2 linked regions of the Struthio camelus genome follow. The protein of the gene in region 2 interacts with the protein of the main gene of each other region in a biochemical or structural test. Links are inferred from orthologs where the notes say so. Each region holds a gene or a part of one and is shown on either strand. Other genes may lie near its edges.

The links.
Region 1: the proteins of SORT1 (region 2) and NGF form a complex in vitro, tested with the Homo sapiens proteins (3 studies listed by BioGRID and IntAct, with this or other methods). The link is inferred for Struthio camelus from reciprocal best matches to the Homo sapiens genes SORT1 and NGF.

Annotation. Positions count from the first base shown.
Region 1 is NC_090965.1:10,271,997-10,282,440, forward strand, and holds the start of NGF (beta-nerve growth factor), read right to left. Parts: upstream 6,188-10,444; 5' UTR 5,896-6,187; intron 415-5,895; exon of another isoform or gene 1-414. UniProt on the Homo sapiens protein: Nerve growth factor is important for the development and maintenance of the sympathetic and sensory nervous systems.
Region 2 is NC_090965.1:4,132,845-4,143,288, forward strand, and holds the start of SORT1 (sortilin), read right to left. Parts: upstream 5,489-10,444; coding exon 5,270-5,488; intron 1-5,269. Other genes in the region: PSMA5 (proteasome subunit alpha type-5), read right to left, coding at 9,413-9,490.

The DNA.
Region 1 (10,444 bases), about 6.1 Mb from region 2:
CCCATACAGTGCGGAGGGAAACATATGAAATGATTAAGAATAGGAAAAAATCAAAATAATAATTTTTAGACTAGCAAAACCACACTTAGTAAACAGAAGGTTGTCAAAAGAAATAATCTGTTTCCCGGCAGTTTCTGTACTAGGGTAATTTATTAATTGTTCTGGACTGTCAGAAGCAGGCTAATCTGTTAGTTTTCTGAGTAGTCACCACCTGACTCTGAGCTAAGTCAAATTTTATCACATACTCTTTAACACAGTAACATTTCTTTCAAATATAGCAGTTAAAGATAAATGACCAACTCTGAATGTAAGAAGCAGGCTCATGTTATATTCCTGGAAAGAATATTGATATTTGCCTAACATATACGGTCATTATGTTTTTGTCAACAATATATAAACCAAGTCCCAAAACAAGGTCAAACTGTCTTACTTCTTACTTCTGTTGCATATTTTTCTGTCATTGTGCTTGAATGAATCTTTTTCCATTGAAATCAATCGGAGTTTTGATTCCTAACAACTAGGTGGGAGCAGAATCTGATCTTTTATTAGCACATTGTTATGTACCCTATGGGAACAGGAAATACGATTTTGGAACCAAGAACATAAATTAAGGAAAGATTTTTTAGAATCAATGTAATAGTCTGTATTCAGTGTTCAATTTTAGAAAATGCCTGAACAAAAGACATAGAACTACATCAAGTGGTCTGGTTACATCATGTATGGTTTCTGACAGTGACCAGGGTTCTGTTCAGAAAATACTTTTAGGGACTGTCAGACTGAGGGGAGACTGTGAGGGTTGGGGTTGCAAAGCCCAGGCCACACCATTCCTCAGGATTTTTACTGCATGTTGTTACCATCTCACATTTTTTTCCGAGGGATACTACTAAGATATCTGGAAGCCATGCTCCTGTGGTACAACTGTTGCCCTCAACAGAGAGCATGAGTCTGATTGATAGAGTTCGATTTGGGCCTTCGGCCAGTGGGGACTATTATGCCAGAAAATCTCAAAACATTGCTGTAAATGCAAGATCCCTGGAAAAAAGAGGAAAGGCTCTTTACTGGGAAGTATACATTGCCTCCAAGTCGACAAAGAGTCTAAGGTGTTTTATGCACTGAACAAAGAGACAGGAGGTTCAAATGATGCTACTAAAGGCTGGCATGGCAGTAAACCCACCATGCAAGTTATTTCACACTACCTCATGCAGTCTTTTTAGTTTTGGACTAAGATGTTATGCTAAGAAAGTTTCATGCTTTTGCGTATGTTCTGCTACAGTAATAGTGTCACGTCTAGCGTTCACGTGAAATGTCTTTCACACGAACGTAGCCACACAGACATTATACCTGAAGGTGGGCAAGTACTGCATCTTTTTGTCTCTTGGTCTCCTAAACACATGTAGTTGACTGTGCAACGTGGTGTACTTGGGTGTGCTTCAGTTGGAGCTCACGCACTTGAAAACGTGCTGACTAGTGAATTGTTGTAGCCAACTCTTTTTATATCCCTAGTGACTTCACAACTGTCTGCCAGTACGGTCAGCATCTTACACCTCTATTTGTGTATCCATTAAATTCGGTTTTATCCCTTCTCCTGTGTCCTCATAATTGGGTACAAGTGCCAAGTTTTAACGTTCCAGTACACTCTTAACTCGTTTGCAATTAATTGTTAAACTCGGAGAAACAGGAAGCACGAAAGGAGGCATGAAAACCGACTTTTGTGCAGAGAAAGTTCTGTGTAATTCCACTGTTTTTTAACACGCGCTCCAGAGTGAAAAACACATTTAATACCTCTATAGCCAGTCAGCTACGCTTGGGGTTAGACTCACAGCAGTCAGGTTGACATCTCCCATCCCTGACTTATCTCCTCAGAATATGCTAGAGCTTCCTGGCATCCAGGTTTCACCGTTTGTATTGCTATTCTCTGGACTCTGCAGTAATCCAGGTGAAAGGTATACTGTCAATGCAACGAATGATGTAATATTTCCTTGCTACTGTTTACTTTTATGTGTAATATTCTTGGTGAAAGCATTAAGAAAAGACTTCAGTTCAATAACGAGTCTCAAAATAAGATGTCAGCTCCACAAATAAATAGGCACTAAGAAATTAGATAAAACTGTGTTTTCCCATTTGAAGTATATTTCACTGAATTTCACAAGATCAAACAGTTACATACTTTTCTTAGGCCTTTTTCCACTTCCTCAGTCATAATCTATTTAGACCTTGATTTGCCTGTTTAGTTATATATCTCAGTGTTGGTCTCTTTCTGCAGTGTAAACTCACATGAACTCGTACTTGCCCCTAAGTAATGAATACTCAGATAAAAAACGCTATCTTCACCTTCTCGTTTAAACACAAGTCCCGTACCTTCATCAGTGAACTAGCAACACATAGTAAAAATTATGTAGTGACCTTTCTTCTTGCAAGAATGGGTAAAGTATTTGGCAGGCTAAAACGCTTAGGAGAAGAAGATAAGGATGTCTGTACCAGAACGGAAGAAAGTATTCTGTCTTCCACAGTACCTAGTAATGTTTAGGGAGTAGTATAAGAATAGGGCAACCATATAGTGATATTTCCTTATTATACTCTCCCACTCTCCAGTCATTTTTGAATTGCATTTGATTTCCTGAACTGCAGGTAGTATCTTTGCTTTTAATATGTCGGATTGCTTTTTGAACCCATCCAATGGAAAGAAATTCCATACCTTAATGATGCCTGGAGAAAAGAACAACTTTATTTTGTTTGCTTTGAACCTGCCACCTGTAAGTTTCATTTCCTGCTCCTTGGTTTTTGAACTGGGAGACAGACAACAGCCATTTCTTCTTAACCTTATACAGGACAGTTACGAGTATCTACATTATATCCCTCCTCAGCCATCTCTTTTCCAGGTCGGGAAGTCCTGATCTATGTAGTTCCTCTTAATATGGAAATTGTTCCAGGCCTTGTTGCTCTTTTTTGTGCCTTTTCTGGTTTTACTCTATTCTTTTTTTGAGATGTGGACAATGACCATAACTACATGCAATAGTCAGGACATGGGCACAAGATGGGCTTATAATGTGGGACTGAGGCTTTACTTTCACTGACTGAGTTATATAAATAGCGCTAGTGGAATCACACCAATACTCAAAGTGTGCATAACCTACGCTAATAGATACGATGATCTCTTGGCAAAAGCAAAAATGACCTTGCTGTGTTTGGCCACGTAATAATTTTTGGTATAAATGCATGCACACGCAAACACTTGCAAATATTTAATCAATTCAACAGAGCTGCGCAAAGGGCCTTGTGTCAGGAAAACAAGCCACTCACATCCCATAGGACATCTGTCCCAGTGTGGGAGACGCTTCTGTCATAGAAATGCTCTTAAAACACATTGGCCTCCGTGACAGCGCTGGAGTCAAATTGAGGATAGGGAGAATTTTCTTCTTACCGTGAAAAAAAGCAGCTCTAGTACCATTGTTACGGGTGCCTTTCACCCCTCGTTAGCATGAGGCAAGGCTTGTGGGAAGAAGTAGTATCTTACATTTCTCTAACTGTATCAGCTGATCTAATAAATGTGTTACTTTATGGTCACTTTCTGAACAAGCCCTTTAAACTTCTGACGAGAGGGCAGTTGCCAGCAGAGGTCACCATTGCTGTAGTCGAGTTGAAAGGTGTTGCCGTTCACTAGCTTTTAGTGGACTGAGATTTAAAGGATAGACAAATATTTCTAAACGCACCAGTACTGGTGTAGACTTTTGGTGCTGGAATATTAAATCTACTGGAGTGAAATCATTAATTGTTTTAACTCTTTTGTTTTAAGAGCAAGGTTTGTTCTCGAAATATATGACTAAAACAATAGTAGAACTACGTTACCTCCTTAAAATTATCGATATATTTTCCAAATGATGCCTTCAACTTAATGCAATTAATGTTAATTAATATATATTCAATATCCTGCCAGTTCTAAAGGTATTTTTTAAAGAAACAAAATTGATTAATGAAATGTGCATGATGGAATTTGCATTTACAGGAGCATTTTGTATATGAGCACAGGTGAAATTATGGGATGTATTCTATGGACTGAAGTAATCTAGTTTTTAAATGTGTTTCATCTTTCCTGCTGTTATATGTATTCCATTAAAGAAGGGCATTTTCACTTAAAAATGCTAATTATTACTTAATCAACATTTTACGTATTTTCCTAACCTGTTTTTTTAAATTAACATTTTACAGTGATTACATAGGAGGCCTAATCATTCTAAGTAATAATCATTCTAAGTAACTTAGCATATGGGCTAGAATGATCCTTTGTGCTCTGTAATTCTCCGCTGGAATTAAATGAAGACATCTGAGAAGATAACTTAAGCTTTTGGGTGAGAAAATGGACACTGCTAAGCTAAGAGGATGTGAAAACCATGAGCAAGAAAGCCACACTTACTTACTTTCTTTGCCACCCTGTTGTGAGACTGACAGATCCCTTTAGAGTGAGTGGCTGGGATTGATCAGGATGTGAAATGACTATTACTTTACTGCGCACATCTGCCAGAAGAGCTACTCTCCAGACCTTGCTGAGATTTTTTAGAAAATGATTCATACACCTAACGAGTAATATATTTAAGGGCCAAATCTTTCTTAATCCTGCTCATGTGGACACTCCATTTTATTTTCTTGATCCCATCACTGTAATTTTTTTTTGTGAAAGTGCAGACACTGTTGTAACTTTGTGAGTTTTGGACAAATGTGAGATGATGATTGTCCATCTGAACATGGAGATGGCTTTTTAAAAGGCCTGTTTTTCATAGTACCTGAAACAGCTCAGAACTGCAACAAGTATGAACTTACAGGCAAGTCAGCTTCCTGCCTTTTTGCAGATAATTGTCACACTCTATTTTAGCTTAGCAAAAAAGTACCCAAGAGGCTTTACTGTAATACACTAATGCATGAAAGCACTCATGAATTATCTGCCTAACAGTGACAATGCAACTTCCAAGTTGTGACAACTTGGAAAAACCAGCCTGACAAGCGTGCTCACTTTCACTGTTTTTCTAAAACTTCTTGAGCGTATAAGGAGAATTTAAAGTGAAGAAAACAATTGAAGCACAAACGCTTTTTGTTCTTGGCACACAAATTCCTTTCCTCCCTTGCTGGGGTCCCCGTTCCTGTGTCTGACTGGCGTATCAGATAAAACGGTGTTACTATCACCCAGGATAAATCAATAAACACTGTCAGTTTCATCCTGTCAATAATAGGCAGGCAGCAAGGAGTTGGTAAGCTTTTCCAAGTGTAGTTACAGAATATACAGTCTAAAGTGAACTACAGCTCTGCCTAGAGCTAGAAGGTTTCTGCCTTGTGCCAATTATGTCTGGATTGACCAGAATTCTTATTTATTTATTTCAGAAAAGCAAAAAAAAGAGTTCTTACCTAGAGTAGAATTATCATGGAAAAGAGAGAAAGTGTTACACCATAATGAAAACCAAGACAGCAAAGCATTTTCATATAGAAGTTAACTGCTATACCTGTGCAGATAAAACTAAGGTCTGATTTACCTGGATGAAAAACGATGCGTAAGAATGCCTACATTTCTCTAAGGTTAAGCTGCTTTTACTAAAGATACGTTTCAAGCTTTGAACTTAGCCACAAATGCTTTCTGAACACCTTCCAGATGTGCATGCTATTTAAACTGCATTAATAGATGCAATTTTCAGTCTTACTAGACCAAGCTGTTCTGAACAAATGTTACTTTTAAGCAACCAGCACTCCATGTTTCAAAGGCATCTGATCTGCACCCCTTCAAGAGAGCGAAAATCACAGTACAGCAAAAACATACTGGCAAATTTTAAAGACAGGAAAACTTCCACAACTGATGCAACGGCAGCATTACTTGCTTTGTGAAAACCCTTTGACGGTTGTGGGGTCACTCACCTCAGAGCTGCTATCACTCAACACTGGAGGGAGAGGAAATCCTGAGGGGTGTCCAAGCTGTTTTGTAGTCCGTAGCACCCTAGTCTGTGGACACTTTCCCAAGCCAGACGAGCCATTCACATTCCCTCTGCCTTTCCAGCCTCATTCACTGCTCTCAGGCTCAGCTAGCTGCACTGACTCACAGGAATTAAGCTCCCTCTGGGTCCTAGTGCTGTAAACGTGTGGGAGCTGCACGGACTCGTAGGAATCTAGCCTTTGGCTTGGCGCCTAATCCATGCAGTGATGCACAGATGTGCAGTGAAAGTTTCAAAGCGTGCACTGGCTGTATGACTGAGAAAAAGTGTCAACTTCCTGGTTCCACTGTCAAGAACTGAAATTCTCTTTAAGGTACTTTTTGTCTAAAGAATTTCTGCTTTGCATCTTAATATCTGTGCTGTGTTTAAAGATGAGAGGTCACAAAAGCAAAGCCCCGGGTCCCTGATGAATGGGTCCTTGTGAAAGTGATCCTTAGAGCCCTTTACTCATGTCATGAGTCTATGAAAAAGAATAAGAAGAAACTAACAGTTAACTGATGAAGCAGTGGACTAGGTTGTCTGCAAAAATTGTGCAGTCCCTGTTATCAGATGTCTTTATCAGGGGTCAGCCAAATACTGATCAGGAGTAAGAAGGAAATAGTTGATCCTGACTTGGGGCAGAGGAAAAGATTATATAAAGTGCCTTCCAGCCCTAATGTTTTGTGCTCAACATGCTTACCATAAGCAATAGAGGGAGATGGAAATGTTTCTCCATTATTTTTGTGAAGGAGGATTAAGTGCTTTACCACAGAGCAACAGTGTGTTTTAAGCCCTGAGAAATACAGAGAAGAAATGCAAAAGTGAAAAATTACATGACATTAAACAAATCAATAAACAGTTGACTGACTACATAAACCAAAGGAACTTTTAATACAGCTATGAAGCAGACACCTGGAATTTCATAGTTCTCATACTAGCATAGTGTAACCCTTGCCATTTCACAGAGACCCAAGGCAAAAAGTTAGATCATCCTCTACTGAAAAACAGACCACTGCATTTTATAAACGTGGAAATAATAAAACATCTTTTGATTACATCCAGAAGAGGGCGGACATCTGGAGAGGCTCATGCTTGAAAACCTTCTAGGAAGGGAAAGATGTGTGGAAGGTACTGTGTAAAGGCGTAAAGAAGAAGACAAAGTAGCTTTGAGATAATAATGTTTTTTATATATCACGTGAATGTGATAGTTCTTGAACTCGAACCAAGCATATCCTCTATTTTATTAGAAGTCGTAGACAAGTCTTACATTCATTTTCCACAGTGCCAAAGTTAAGACTGGCTTCAGTGCTAGACCTTTTCTTGGAGGTGATGTCCATTTAAAATTGCCTGAAAAATCCTTAAGAAAATTGCAACACAAAATGCTTAAAACAAATGCTGAAAATACCTTCCTAAGTTCCCAGAATTATGCAGTTCAGATTGGTTTGTTTTTCTAAAAGCGACGGCCCACACAAGATACCAGTCACAGGCCAAACTGTAATGTCTTCATTCACACAGACAGCCATCAGAATTTGTGAAAGTTTTGCCTGTAAAACTTGTCCTCGGGATTTGGCCTTAGATTCATATTTCATTGCAGAAATGCCAGGCTATTCTTGTGTTGGAAATTTGTCTCACTTCATTAGGATATCCTCAGGTTAGGATTTTTTGCTGACAATTTGAAAGAGCATTATAGCTTGGTGTGAGTATAATGAACAGCATCAAAACACCAATATAAAAATATATGCTCTTTTCTGACCAAAAAGTTAGTACATGCTTGTGCTTAGCATCTCTACGTTTGATTTCTTGGCACGAGTTGCATGTGTTTTCTTAAAAGTTAAAAAAGCTATTTTGGACACAGTAAACAATAATACAGTTTGAGTTTGTACTTAATCTGTATCACAAGCACTTACTTTTGTCTAACGAAATTCTCCTCTAGTACCTCATTCCATCATAGCAGCAGGTTCATATAAGCAAGAAAGATAGCTGCACCAGTCCCTAGGAAAACGCACTGGCTTGTATTCTTTTTCCTTATGTTCCCATGTACCCCAAACAAACAGCATTTCTACATTCCTAGCTTCTGGAAAATAGGCGTGCTCCTATGGGTATACTAGCCATGTACAGACGTAATCCCAGGTGGACTGCTATACTTGGAGCTGAGCAGCTGAAAGCGCTGCACAGAGTAGGTTGTATATCTTTCTCTTTTAGCAGTGCTCTGACCCACCTACTTGCACGGATGTTTAACTTTTATCTTTCATGAGTTGGGGGTTCTCTTGCTTAGGCAGGAAATCACTGATCACAAGGTAAAGAACTAATAATGTCAGGCTGAGCAAGGAAAAGATGTATTCTGGAATCAGAGAAGCTGCTGCATAGAGAGAAGTTCTTCTGTGAGCACCAAACTAATGAATCCTGGTTCTCTTAGAGATTTGCATCCAATTATTCTTCTGCCTCTACTACAATAATCCCAAATCTCCTATGACCTCTTGCATGAGCTTCCTTGAACAATTACCTCAATTTTCGCCTAAGAGTAAGTCGATCCATTGTGTTCCAGAGAAGCATTGGCATGTAGTGCGTTGACATATTTTGTTTCAGGAAACCAAAAGCACACAGATCAAAATGAAGAGCAGCACTGTTGAGAGTGGTGACAAGAGGTGAAATGCTTTGTGCTCTCATGAGTCTTGGGCTGTGGCTATTCTGACCATTAGGCTGAGTTCAGTGTTGCCCTAAGCCCCAAAACAACAGCTGTGGATTGTTACAGCCTCTTCCCCCTGCATCAGCACTTCTGTCCAAATAGGTTAGTGAAGGAGGCACAGAGTAGGAAAAAGGTGTTTTGTGTTTATGTGGGTTGTTTAGGACTGTAAGAGGCCTTGGGTACAGGAGGTGAATTCCTGCTGGAGTTGATGTCTTTTGTGCTCCTGAAAGAGTTTCGGGGAAGGTGTTTGAGGAGCAGTGGCTGGGCTTTTCCATTTATAAGCAACTTTCTTTGAGGAACAAAGCTGCCAGAACCAACAAAGTCCTCATTTGTGTCTGAAATCATTGTGAGTATGGAAGTAACGCAGGTGAGCAGAGCTACTGTTTCTAAAATCTTGCTGTCTAGAGAGGTGTCAGGGTGTTAATAAAAGGACCCACAGAGCATGAAAAGCTTTTCAAACATGTCATAAAAGTATAGGGCATGGGATGAGGGTGACAGATCTTGTTTTCTTCAGAGATACTTAATTGTGTGTGTGTGTGCGCGTGCACGTGCGTGCTGACAGCTGCATTCAGTACTTTCTTGTAGTGCTGGGTCTTTACAGGAAAAAAGATAAATCAAAAGTACACCCCCCACCCCAGCTATCTGGAGGTGCTTAGATGTGAATGCAAGAAGTGTTTTAAACGTCTAAAGTGAGGCTTTCAAAAGTGTAAGATAGAATCTGTTTTACCTAAAAGAATATTTATCACTTCCAATTTTATAAACCTCCAGAAAATAGAGCATTGCTATCTTATGTAAGCTTGTTTGACAGCTCTAGTCCTAAAGCTAAATTGAATGTAAAGAGATATTAAACTTAGCTCTTAATACTCAGCTGGAGGAAGCTAGCCCACCTTTGGCCAAATAGATGTTAACTGAGAGACTAGAAGGAATGGTCACAACACAAGTTCTCCTCTTGTATTAGTTTCAAACATGGAAAACCTGATGGACAGGTGGTCTCTTTTGGCTTTGTTAGTTTGTGTAGCATTACATTATAGTGTTATGTGTAGGGCAGAAGCTATTAGCAAAAAGCAGAAGCTCACTCATGGGTCATGAATAAGTAGGTCATACAAACAAGTTCATTACTGATTTACTGTGGGACTCAGTCTCCTGTTTTTTTCTTAACTGCTTCTGCTGCATGGTTTTTCAGTTGAATCGATAACGCATACCGAATGTAGCTTAGCTGCGTCAAGAAATTGATTTGCTCATGATGCATCCCAATATACTGCAGTTCAAAACAAGTGGTGATAGGAAACATTCAGTTATGGTGAGTTATGGACTTGCACTAATATTATTCTTTCTCTTTTGGTTAGTTATAAAGGGTACAGTAAAACAAACCATTTTGCTGTAAAATAAAACATCTCCAAAGCCTGATCTTAGTAAAAGCAAACTGTCTAGTGATCATCCAAGTGCTGTTACAGACAGAATGTAATTCTTATGGTAGTGACATATAGACAAAGCAGAGCTATGAGAATAACTTTACATAGCGTTCCTCTTTGGATTCAGCAGAGGTTTTGCCTGATAACTTATTTGGAAAGACACAGTAACTACTGTATATTACAGTATACATAAGCCTGCAGTTTTGTTAGAATACCTTAATATTCACTGTTGGTTTGCAATGAGGGTAAAATTAGAACATACGTGCTATTTTAAAACAGAAAAGGAACTATGAATTTTGAAAAACAGCACTCAGATGTTTGAGTGCTCTTCTATAGGAGGATAAAAGGTTGTAAGATACTCTGCTTAGTGGCTGCGTGGTTTTATCCCTAGCCATAGC
Region 2 (10,444 bases):
CAAGCAGTGCCGCACCGGCCGGGACGAGAGCCCGCGCAGCCCCCCGGACCCCGTCCCGTGCCCTGCACCAGCGGCGGTACCGCATTCATCTCCAAGAGAGGCCTTATTAGCATCTCATTAGGAGAGAAGGGGAGGAAAAAAAAAAAAGAGAAAGAGAGGAAAGAAATGTAAATTAGCTGCTTTCATGACAGCCAAGCTGCAGGGAGAGCGGGAGCGCTGGCGGAGATTAGAGACATAAAAGCGAACATAATCTGGGCGGCCGAGCGGAGGGTCTGAGCGCCAGGAGCGGGGGGGCCCCGGCAGCCGGCGAAGCCCGCGGCGCGGCCGTCCCCCGGGGCCCCGACTTGGTTTTCTCGAGCTGCCTCCTCCGCCCGTCGCGGAAGGAAAGCCGGGGAGGCGGCTGGGCGCCCCGCGCAGCCGGCCGAGCGCTGGCGAAGCCACGGGGGCCCGTCCCGCGCGCAGGCTGAGTGCCGCGGAGGGGTTTCCCCCAGCCTCGGCCGCCAGCGTCGATCCCCGAAGCCAGAGGAGAAGCGCTCTGCCCCTTCCGCCAGCGGGACCGCGCTGCTATTAAACGGCTGTCCCCACTCCGACCTAACGGTCGAGGCGGTTTCCAGAGTGCCGAAACACCAGAGGCTCCGGGAGGGAGCAGGGTAGCAGTAAATAGTGGAAATCCCACGCCACGCGGGGCTGGGGCGGCGCGCAGAAAGCCCTGGGGAAGAGTTTTGCAGAGAGCAGGAAGGAAAAGGGCCCGGGAAGGAGCGAACCTCGCTGCAACGAGGAGCTGGGAGCTGAGCCGGACCCGACAGCTCAGAGAAAAAGAGAGCAGGGTTTTCTTTTAACCAAATTCCCAGCGTTTAGCAGATCTGCCCGTCAGCAGCCCTGGTTCAACGGATTGCAGGAGAGCAAAACCAAACGGAGCGGATAAGGCTAAACGATGCTCGGAGCAGGGGGAGCCGAGGCAGAAGGCTTTAGCGGGGGAGAGACTTCTTAGCCGGACATGGCAAAACCAGATGGAAAAATATCATTGTGCTTCGCGTATTATTAGAGATGATCTGACCCCATTAGTCACAAGGGCAGAGCTAAAAATAAAGTCCCAGGGGAGGTGAGCCGGGGCCTGCTGGCGTTGGACCTAGCGGGCCAGCGACCAGTCCAACGTCTGGTCAAACTGGGCGGCTCTCCTCCGCCGGAGGCCCCCGACAAGCGACCCTGAGAGCAGAACCGGCTCCGGCGAGCGAGGGAGGCGCGAGGATGCTGCGCCGGCTGGAAAAGCACGCTCCCGCTCCTTCCCGTGGGTTCGTGCCGTGCCTCCCCCTGGGTTTAGGGGTTTCTTCCCAGGGATCGCAAGATCTCCCTGATCGCAAAATCCCTCCCGGCAGAGCAGCGAGACCCATCGGTCCCCGCTCTCCCGCCGCGCTGGCGGGCTCTGCAGCACCGGCAGGAGCGGGCTGCGGGGAGAGGAGCAGACCCGCGCCGCAGAGAGCTCTGCTGCGTCGCAACTTGGCGCCGGCTCCCGGCGCTCGCTAACCTCGCGCGTCCCCGGGCGAGAGCAGCGGGGCGGCGCGGGGACCCTCCCAAGCCGCTCCGCGTCTCCCCGCCCGGCGGGAGAGCAGAGCGCCGTCGCTGTAACCACTGCAATGGCATCGGGGAGGGCGGGGAGCAAGAACGATGCCTCTGCACAGCTTTTGCCACCCATTTAAAACTCAATTTAGCAATAAGAGAAACACCAGGTCGCAGGCTTTTAATTATCTAGGTTGCTACGGGGAGGATGCTTGCCAGACAAAGATTTAATTGCAGACAGCGAAACGCTGAGGTCAGGCCCGAGGCGGCGGCACCTCATTAGCTCAGTGACGAAGCTGGTGACGGCGCCTGCACCCCCGGACCACGCAAACGGCACCGGGAAGCTGTTTGGCCCGTGGCCTCGCCGGCCACGACGCGTTGCCCCTCGCTGCAGAGCGAGGCAGCCCGGCACCGACGGAGCCCGCGCGCGAGCGGGGCCGGAGCCCTGCAAGCCGGGGCTCTCCTAACCCTCCTCGCCGCCTGCCAGAAACGCGGCTCCCGCGGGCAGAGCAGGCTGTCGGCAGCAAAGCGGCTGTCCCGCGCGCTGCCAGGCCGCTCTGCGGTTCGCACGGAGGTTATCCAGGCTTTCGCCGCTGACCGCAGCTCAAAACGAGCCAAATCTTGTGCTTCCGAGTCAGCAACTGCAGCAAGGAGCAACTTCCCTTCTGTGGCGCCGCTCTGGAGCATCGTCCCGTGCATCGGTCGAGGATCCTCTGAATTCAGAGGAAAGCTCTTTACCAGCCAGTCCACCAGCAGCGAGGGTGAATGAGCCTCAGAGCAGACAAGCGATCATATCCAGAAACGTCCCTGTTTCAGGATTTACTGGAGGGAGGCCACGATCTGGGGCTAAACGCTCCGTCCATGCAACGCCTCTGTTGTGCAGCGGTGCGCTGACCTGGCAGGGCTCTTGCAAGGAGGGGCCTTCCCTCCTCCTGCTTCGCGGTAGGGGGAAACTGAGGCAGCAGCTAAGCGACTTCCCTCGGTGCCCTCGCAAGGACAGAGGCGCCTCGAAACGCTGCCGCTCGAGCCAAGGCGCCCGGCTTGTTCCCAGTCCCGGCAGCTCCGCGCGCACGGCTCGGCGGCTTCGGGACGCCTCTCCCAGCGGGAACCGGGGTAAGGGACGAGCAGGGGCCGGCGCAGCCCCGGCGGCTGGGGAAGGAGGGTGCTGCGAGCCCCGCGCTCGCCCACGTTAGCTCAGGCCTGCGGAGCCGCCGGAGGAAGGAAAGGAGGAAAACGGAGAGGCCAAGCGCCGCACAAGAGGCCGCCCGATCTCGCTCCCTGCCAGGCGGCCCAGGGGCCCGTAAGGGAGCACAAGCCGCGGCTCCTTCGCCCTGCTCTCCAGCAGGCACCGGCGCCGCAGGGACAAAACCCGGCCGGTCGCAGCGAACAAACGGGCGCATTCTTCTCCCCGCTGAGACGCCGCGTTATTACCCACCGTGGACTTTCGACACAGCCTGTTTCTCCAAGACACTACGTGTCTTTTGCAGAAGCTGCGGGCGAGCGGCTGGCTCGCGGGTTAAGGGAAAGGACGAGGAGTCAGGCCAGCCTGGCCCCCTTCCCAGCCCGGCTGGGAGCAGCACTCGCGCTCGGGCTGAGCTTCGCCTCTGCGGGACGGGGCTGCCCGGGTGGCAAGGCTGCCGAGCGCCTCCGCGGCGGCGAAGGAAATCTCCCGGAGAGGCCTGGAAGAGCAGGACGGGGCAGGGAGGTTGCCAAAACAGCACCGGCCAAGCTAAACACTCGCGTGTAATCAAGCAGCCGGATCCCAGCTTTCGGCCCAGCTCAAAGCAGAGCGTCGGCCGGTAGAGCCGGGCTCCAAACCCACTTCCAACCGCCAATTAGCAACCGGCCGGGCCGGCAGAGCGGGTGCAGCCGGCGGCTGAGAGGGCAGCGGCTACAGTCGCGCGGCGCGGAGCGAGCCTGCCAGATCTCGACCCGCAGCAACGCGCGCCCGCCTCTTCCCGAGTCTGCAGACGCGGCACCTCCGGTGCAACGCAGCGACGGCGTCGGCTTAGGCAGCTCTTTGCCCCGACGGGCCCTGGCTCGGGGCTGCCCCGGCCGCTGCCCGGCCCCAAGCCCGGCACAAGCAGTCCTGCGCGGCGGCCGAGCCAAGGGGCGCTGCCAGCCAAGGGCAGCCCGTACCCGCGGCATCCTCGGCACGGTTAATGTTCAACCCGGACGCTGGCACGCGGGCAAGCCGGAGCTGCCCGCGTGGATGAGTAACACCGAGCGATCGGCAAGGGCTGAGCAGCCACGGGGCCAAACGCCGGGGACGGGCTCCTCTCTCTGCCAGCACCGGGGGCATTTCCCGGCGCCGCGGAGGAGCAGAGGAAGGACCGAAGCGGTTCTCCCGCGGGTTTTAAGGTCATCTTTGCCAGCGGGAAATAAACCGGGCAGATTAGATTTTAGGTCGGCCAAATCTGGCGACATCGCTTAATCTCTCGCCCTCGCCACTCCCAAGGGCGGCGGGGAGGCGGGGGGCGAGCGCCCCGAGCCCGCCGAGCGGGGACAGGGACGGGAACCGCTCCGTCACCCGCTTGGCAGGAAGGAGCTGCCGGTCTGTCTGTCTGTCCCCTACCTCTCCGCCGGCGCCCACGCGGCAGGGAGCTGTCAGTCTGTCCGTCCCCGCAGCGGGAGGGCAGGACGGGACCGCAGGGCGGCTGCGATCCCGGTGGGACCTCCCTCCCGGCATGCGGTGGGGGGTCAGTCTGTCTGTCTGTCCTGTCCCTGCCCAGGGCGAAGGGAGAGGGAGAGCCTCAGGCTGGCTGGTTGTCGTCCTGCCCATCAGTCAGCCTGTCCGTCCGTCCGTCCAGGCAGCGGGCGCTCGCGCTGGGGGTCTGTCCACGGGAGGTGCCTCACCACCGGCCCGCTGCCAGTACCCGCCGGAGGGTGGGCGGGCGGCTGTCTGTCCTGGCGTTGCAGGGGTGCCTCTCCACAGGTCCCCTGCCTGTCCGTCTGTCTGGCTAGCTAGCTGTCCCCTCGTCTGCCCCCATCAGTGCAACGGGGGGGGGGTCTGGGTGTCCGTCCTGGAGCACGCGCCGGTCAACCTCTGTCAGTCCGCCCTGCCCTGCCCCAGCACGGACAGGGTGACGGCGCGTCCGTCTGTCTGTCTGCCCCGGTGGGTGCGGAAGGAGGATGGGATGTCTGTCCCTCTGTCCTGCTGCTGCTGGGGATCGCCTGTCTGTGCCAGGGACTACAGGGGCCGCCTGCCTGTCCGTCTGTCCACGCCTCCCCAGGGAACCTGCCTGCCTGTCCGTCTGTCTGTCCATGCCTCCCCAACAGACCTGCCTGTCCGTCTGTCTGTCCACGCTCCCCGACGGACCTGCCTGTCCGTCTGTCTGCCCATGTCCCCTAGGGGCTGCGGGGGGGGGGGGGGGGGGACTAGGAGGGAGGGACCGCCTGTCTGTCTGTCTGTCCGTCCGTCCTGGGAGCCGGGGGGGAAGGGGTCTGTCTGTCCCTCCCCACAGCTGCGCAGACAGCCTCTGTCTGTCCGTCCGTCCCTCCCGAGACCTGTTAGCGCAGCGAGGCCTGTCTGTCCCGGTACCTGCCCGGCCGGGGGGGGGGGGGGGGAAGCTGCCGGGGGCGGGGGGCTGCCGGGGGGGGGGGTCTGACCCTGCCGGTGCCTTTCCGGGACGGGGCGGGGGGCTGCCGGGGGGGGGGGGTCTGTCCCTGCCGGGGGGTCCCGCCCGCCCCGCTCCCGGCCCCGCCCGCTCACCTGGTGCGTGTTGTTGCCGAGGGCGGCCGGGACGCCGCGCAGGCCGCCGCAGGCCTCGCCGCCCGCCGCCGCCGCCAGGCCGAGGCCGCCGCCGCCGCCGCCGATGGCGCGGGGGGGGCGCGGGGGGGCGCGGGGCGGCGGCGCGAGGCGCAGCGCCAGCCCCAGCCCCAACGCCAGCGCCAGCCCCAGCGCGCGCGGCGCTGCCCCGCGCGGCCCCATGGCGACTCCGGCCGCCGCCCGCCGCCCCGCGCCGCCGCCCGCCCCCGCCGCGCCCCGTCCGCCCGCCCCCGCCGCCCCATTGGCGGCCCCCGCCCCGCGCCCCGCCCCCCGCGCCCCGCCCCCGCCCGCTTCGCCGCCGCGGTTGGCCGCGGCCGCCGTCGCTCCCTGCCATGGCAACCGGGCGGCCCGCCTCCCCGGCGGCCCCGCCCCGCCCCCGCCTCCTGATTTGCCTCTTCGCTTGCCAATCACCGCCGAGCCACCTCTCTCCTCCTTCCGTGACTGGCTAGCTCCCCACCGTACCCCTTGCGCGACTGCCCGCTGCCCCCGCCTCCCTTCCCCACCCCGCATTCTAGTCCACCTAGACACAGCCCTCTGATTGGCGGCGACCGGGGCCGCGGAGCGATTTTCTGATTGGCCGAGGTGGCGGGGCACCCTGAGAAGGCCCGCCCCCTCGCCCATTCACAAAGTGGGGGCCGGCCCACGTGGGCGGAGCGGTTGGGGGGGGGGGGGGTGCGAGGAGCCCAGGCGTCCGGCGGGCAGACCACCCCCCCCCCCCAAAAAAAAAAAAAACGGGCCTGGCAGGGAGAGCAGGGACCCCCTGCTCCCAGAGACACCCAGGCCCCGGAGAAGCCGCCCAGTAATGGGGGGGGACCCTGGCAAGGCAGCCCCGCACAGGGATGCTCAGGCCGGGCTTCACCCGTCCCGGTTTGGGGCCCGGTTCACGGCTCTGGGGGCCACGCAGAAACAACCGGCGGCCCCAGCGCGAGGGGCTCGCGGGAGCTCGCTCGACGCCACCAGGAAACGGGGGGCCGGAGGGCGTGCGGCGCTGAGCCGGCGGGAGGAGCGAGAAAGACAAACCCGGCGAGAGGAGAAAAGCGCGGAGAGAGGTCGCGGCCTGCGGAGGGGCCGGACGCGCAGCCGGCTGCGAGGGGCGCTTCCACGAGCGGGTTTAGCGGAGGGCAGCGACCCTCTCCTCCCGCCCCGGCTCGGCTGGCTGCGCGCTAGGGCCCGGTAAGGCTTCGCCTGGCACCAGCAAGCCGACGCCGGCGCCTTCCAGGTTGCGGCCGCTGCCCTGGCGCTGACGGCGCCCGCCGCCGGGGAGAGGGCCGCTCGCCGCACCGCGGGCGGAAAGCGGCTTCCCAATAAATTAAGCGACGGATCCCTTGGCGGGAGCCCGGGAAAGGAGGCGGCTTTGGATATCTGGCCGCGATCCCGCGTGAAAGGTTCATCCTCCCGTCAAGGGTAAGCCGGGCTGTGCAAGCGAGGAGGACGCTGGGGAAGCGGGCGAGGAACCCTCTTCCCTGACGCCTGCTCTCTCGGGCCGCGCAGACAGCGCTTGAGCCTCCTGCCACACCTAAGGCCGCACAAAGTTGAGATCAAAACGCACTTGGGAAAGTTCCTGACTTCTTTGCTACTCGCCCTCCAGGCCTTCATCCTTCCTCATTTGCAAAAAGAGGGTTTTCTTCTTACTGCTGTGTCATTCTTTTACTTTTTTTTTTTTTTTTTGCCCTGAAAAGGGAAAATCTGTGAGCTTGATGCATGAAAGACCTAAGGGAAGACACCTTTGTGACAAGCTGCCTGGGTGGCATCGTTCAACCGATAAAGAGAGCGGAGGCAGGTATCAACCACCCGCACGGGAGGTGCGTGCGCCCAGCTCTGTTACGCTCAGATCCTCTCTTGCGTTCGGACTGCCTGCAAAGAGCTCCGGCTTTTTTCCTTTCCCTCAATGGAGCCAAGACGGATCAGATATAAGGAACACAAAGCCTTGATTTTTCAGAGGAACCAGCTACCATGTGATGCTGCCACCAGCAAACCATGTGATTAGGGAAAGACATAAAGGACTATTTTCTGCTGGAGTGCCATGCTGGGAAGAATTAGCTTTTTGTGTTTTCTAGGACAGAAACAAGCCTAGAAAGAGCACTACCTCCGGGAACAGCAGGTTTCTTCATGTGCCAGGGTTTGCAGAACAGCTGGAAACGCTCCTCGGCTTCCCTTCCAAAGGAGAAGCAAGAGAACATGACCTAGCTTTGAGTGAATGTAAAGGCTTAAAATACTAAAGATAAAGGGTACTTATTTCTTCCACATACACAGTAGCTGGTACCAGTGTGAGCTGCATTTACTGGATGAGTTTATTAGGGCAACACATGGAGCAGCAGCCCCAATACCATCTCTGGCATGCCAAACATTCAAGGTAAGTGACCTCCACCCTGGACTTTCCCTCCTCACTTCCCAAGTTCATCTAGGGATGAAGAGTAGCATAGAGAGACCAGGGGCAGTGGTTCAAAGGCCATGCAAGCGGAGTGAAAGTTGAAGGACTTGTTTTCCCACATTAAGGCTACAAAGAAGTCTCCCTGAAGGGCAAAGTCCACCAGCCACTTGTTTATTCTTCCACCTGCAGATATAGATGCTGTCTTCAACTAGTATCACAAGACCTCAGGCATCACCTGGCTCTCCAGCTTGTTTCATTTGAACTCGTACCAACGAGGGGGGAAAAAACCTCACAGCAGAAACTCGTAGGAGCAAAGGCTTCTGCTATTCTGAAAATAGATGTTGTCTAAGGACAGATCTTCCAGCCATGTAGATCTGGTTGCCTTTCCAGCATCTGAAGGCATTCAGCAACAGCAAGAGAAGAAAAAAAAACTAACAGGATCGGCGTTTTCCATCCTGCGAAATGGCCGCGAGATCAGTCGTGTCAGTTTGCTGCAACTGTTTGGCAAAGCCAAACAGCAGTGAAATGTCTGCTGGAGGTCGGCAGTCAATCCCGACCTCTGAATTGAGGGGAAAGTTAGTCATTTCAGTCAAATGTAATGCTGGAAGCATCCCCACTTATCAGGCGATCCCCACTCCCAGCAGCAGCACGGGATCTGCTTCTTTCACAGAAGTCAGCGCTGTTTTGTTCAGGATGAAATTTTACCTTCTCCAAATAGGGAAGAGAGCGGAGCAGCCTCGGGGAGACACAGCCTCTGCTGCCTACAAAGCCACAGAACTGCATAGTCAACGTGTTACCAGGAGCCTCCTAACAGCAGAGCTGGTTTTCCAGTCTCAGAAGCTGCACTGGCCACGCAGTCTTGATTTCGCAGGAAAGTACTTTGCTAAACTCTGCTTAGGCCAGACTATTTTCATCTCAGTAGCAATCTTTAATACTCAGATGCTATTTCAAGGACAAAGAGGTGCCTGCAGGGGGTAACTAGAAACAAAAGCCCCATTAAGTAGATGAGCAAAAGTTCGCTGGTCAGAATGAAAATACTCTCAAAATTCAGTGACACCTGCCCAGGTCAACGAGTAAGGGGTTGTCCTCTTAACCTCAGAGCTATTCCACGCTTGGGGAACTCTGCTGTATCACATAGTCATTGCATGTACTTCCAAACTCCCATTCAGAAGGGAGCACAAACACCAAGCCTGCTTTGGGTATGAGCAGACCTAAAAAGCCCATGTAAAATTATACATGGGAGGTCCTGATGTGATATAGCCTCATTCTCCACGAGAGGGAGACTTGCTACTGGCATAACCAGCAAGGGCTCCTGGAGCAGCCGCCGCGTCTGGAAGGCGGTTAGGAACAGCGCCGTCCAGAGAGCGATTCCCAGAGAACTCTGCAAGCCCGGCACGCGCTGCTTCGCCCTGCAGCGATGTCAACAGCAGATGTTGTCCTCACCTGCTCCTGGGTTTTGCTCTAAACGGTCGAGCACTTCCCCACCTCAGACCTCCATCCATTATGAGGAACCCAAGATAGAGTAACAAAATGATTTATTGTCATTTCCTCTTATTGTAGAGATCAGTTATGTACAGAAACTGTAAAAAAACCTTAAGAGCCTTCTAAGAAGAGCAAGTACAGATGCTGCTGGAAATAAAATCACAGGTACTGGAAGGAACCGAGAGTCAGTTCACTTTGATTGGGGAATGAGCCTTTGAGGGGGTCTCTCTTTTTCAAATATCCTTGATGACCTCTTCAAGCTCCTCTTTCGTATACATGTGGAACTTCATTCCCGGCTCCACTGTGGCAAGCTGAAAGAGAAAGAGCAAGGGGTTAAGCGTGCCTGCATATGTGAAGTGACAGCATGGGGCAGGGAACAGAGAGAAGCCACAGCAGACAGCAGCTGTTCCTTCTCAGCTGCTTGATCTGCCAGCCCAGCAAGATCATTCCACCCTGTAACATGCTCTTTGATTCCCCAAAATAGCTGGCTGCCACAGAAATAGCTTTTAATTGACTCAATCTCCTCATAGTAGCAGCAGCCGGGAACGTCTGTTGGGCTCAGGCTCCGCTTCTGCTTGCTGCGGGGAGAGACCCTGTTAATACTAGCTCTTCATCAAACACCTCTTGGAAGAGCGGTTCCTCTTGCTGCAGTTCAGGGTGGCCCCGCGCCTGCAGTGCTTGGTAGAAATATCTCTTTGCTCAGATTCAGGAGGCAACACTGAGGAGCCAGAAGGACCACTTCTCCTCCAGTAATGAAGGGTACAAGTCCTGGCCTGTTACACGCTTTAAGAGAACAAAGCAAAATACTCAAAAGGGGACTGTGGATTAGCTTTGGGAAACTGAGGCAGGGACAAAAAAAAATGCATGTGGCCATTTTGATCAACAAATACTGACAATAAGCAAGGCAGTCACCACAACGTACCTTGCAACTACCTGGTGTCCTATGCAAGCGGGTGTAAAGAAGTTCTCTTACAAGGCAAAGCCGAATGGACAGAGCTGGGGGACAAAATGCACTGCCCTGCCTCTTTGCCAGGAAGAGAGAGGGGCAGCGTCCAGGGCAGACAGCTGAAACATTTCACAGAGCAAGTACCAGAACAAGAGATACTTGAACAATTACAAGACCGGAAAAGGAATCCAAGTGGGACTTTTGTTTGCACCTTGTTCATGGCATGAAAGCCCAAGATAGCAGCAGGCAGGCAGACAAGCCAAAAGGTGCAGGAACTAGCCTGGATGCTGCAAACCTTGCTCACAGACACCCCCAGCAC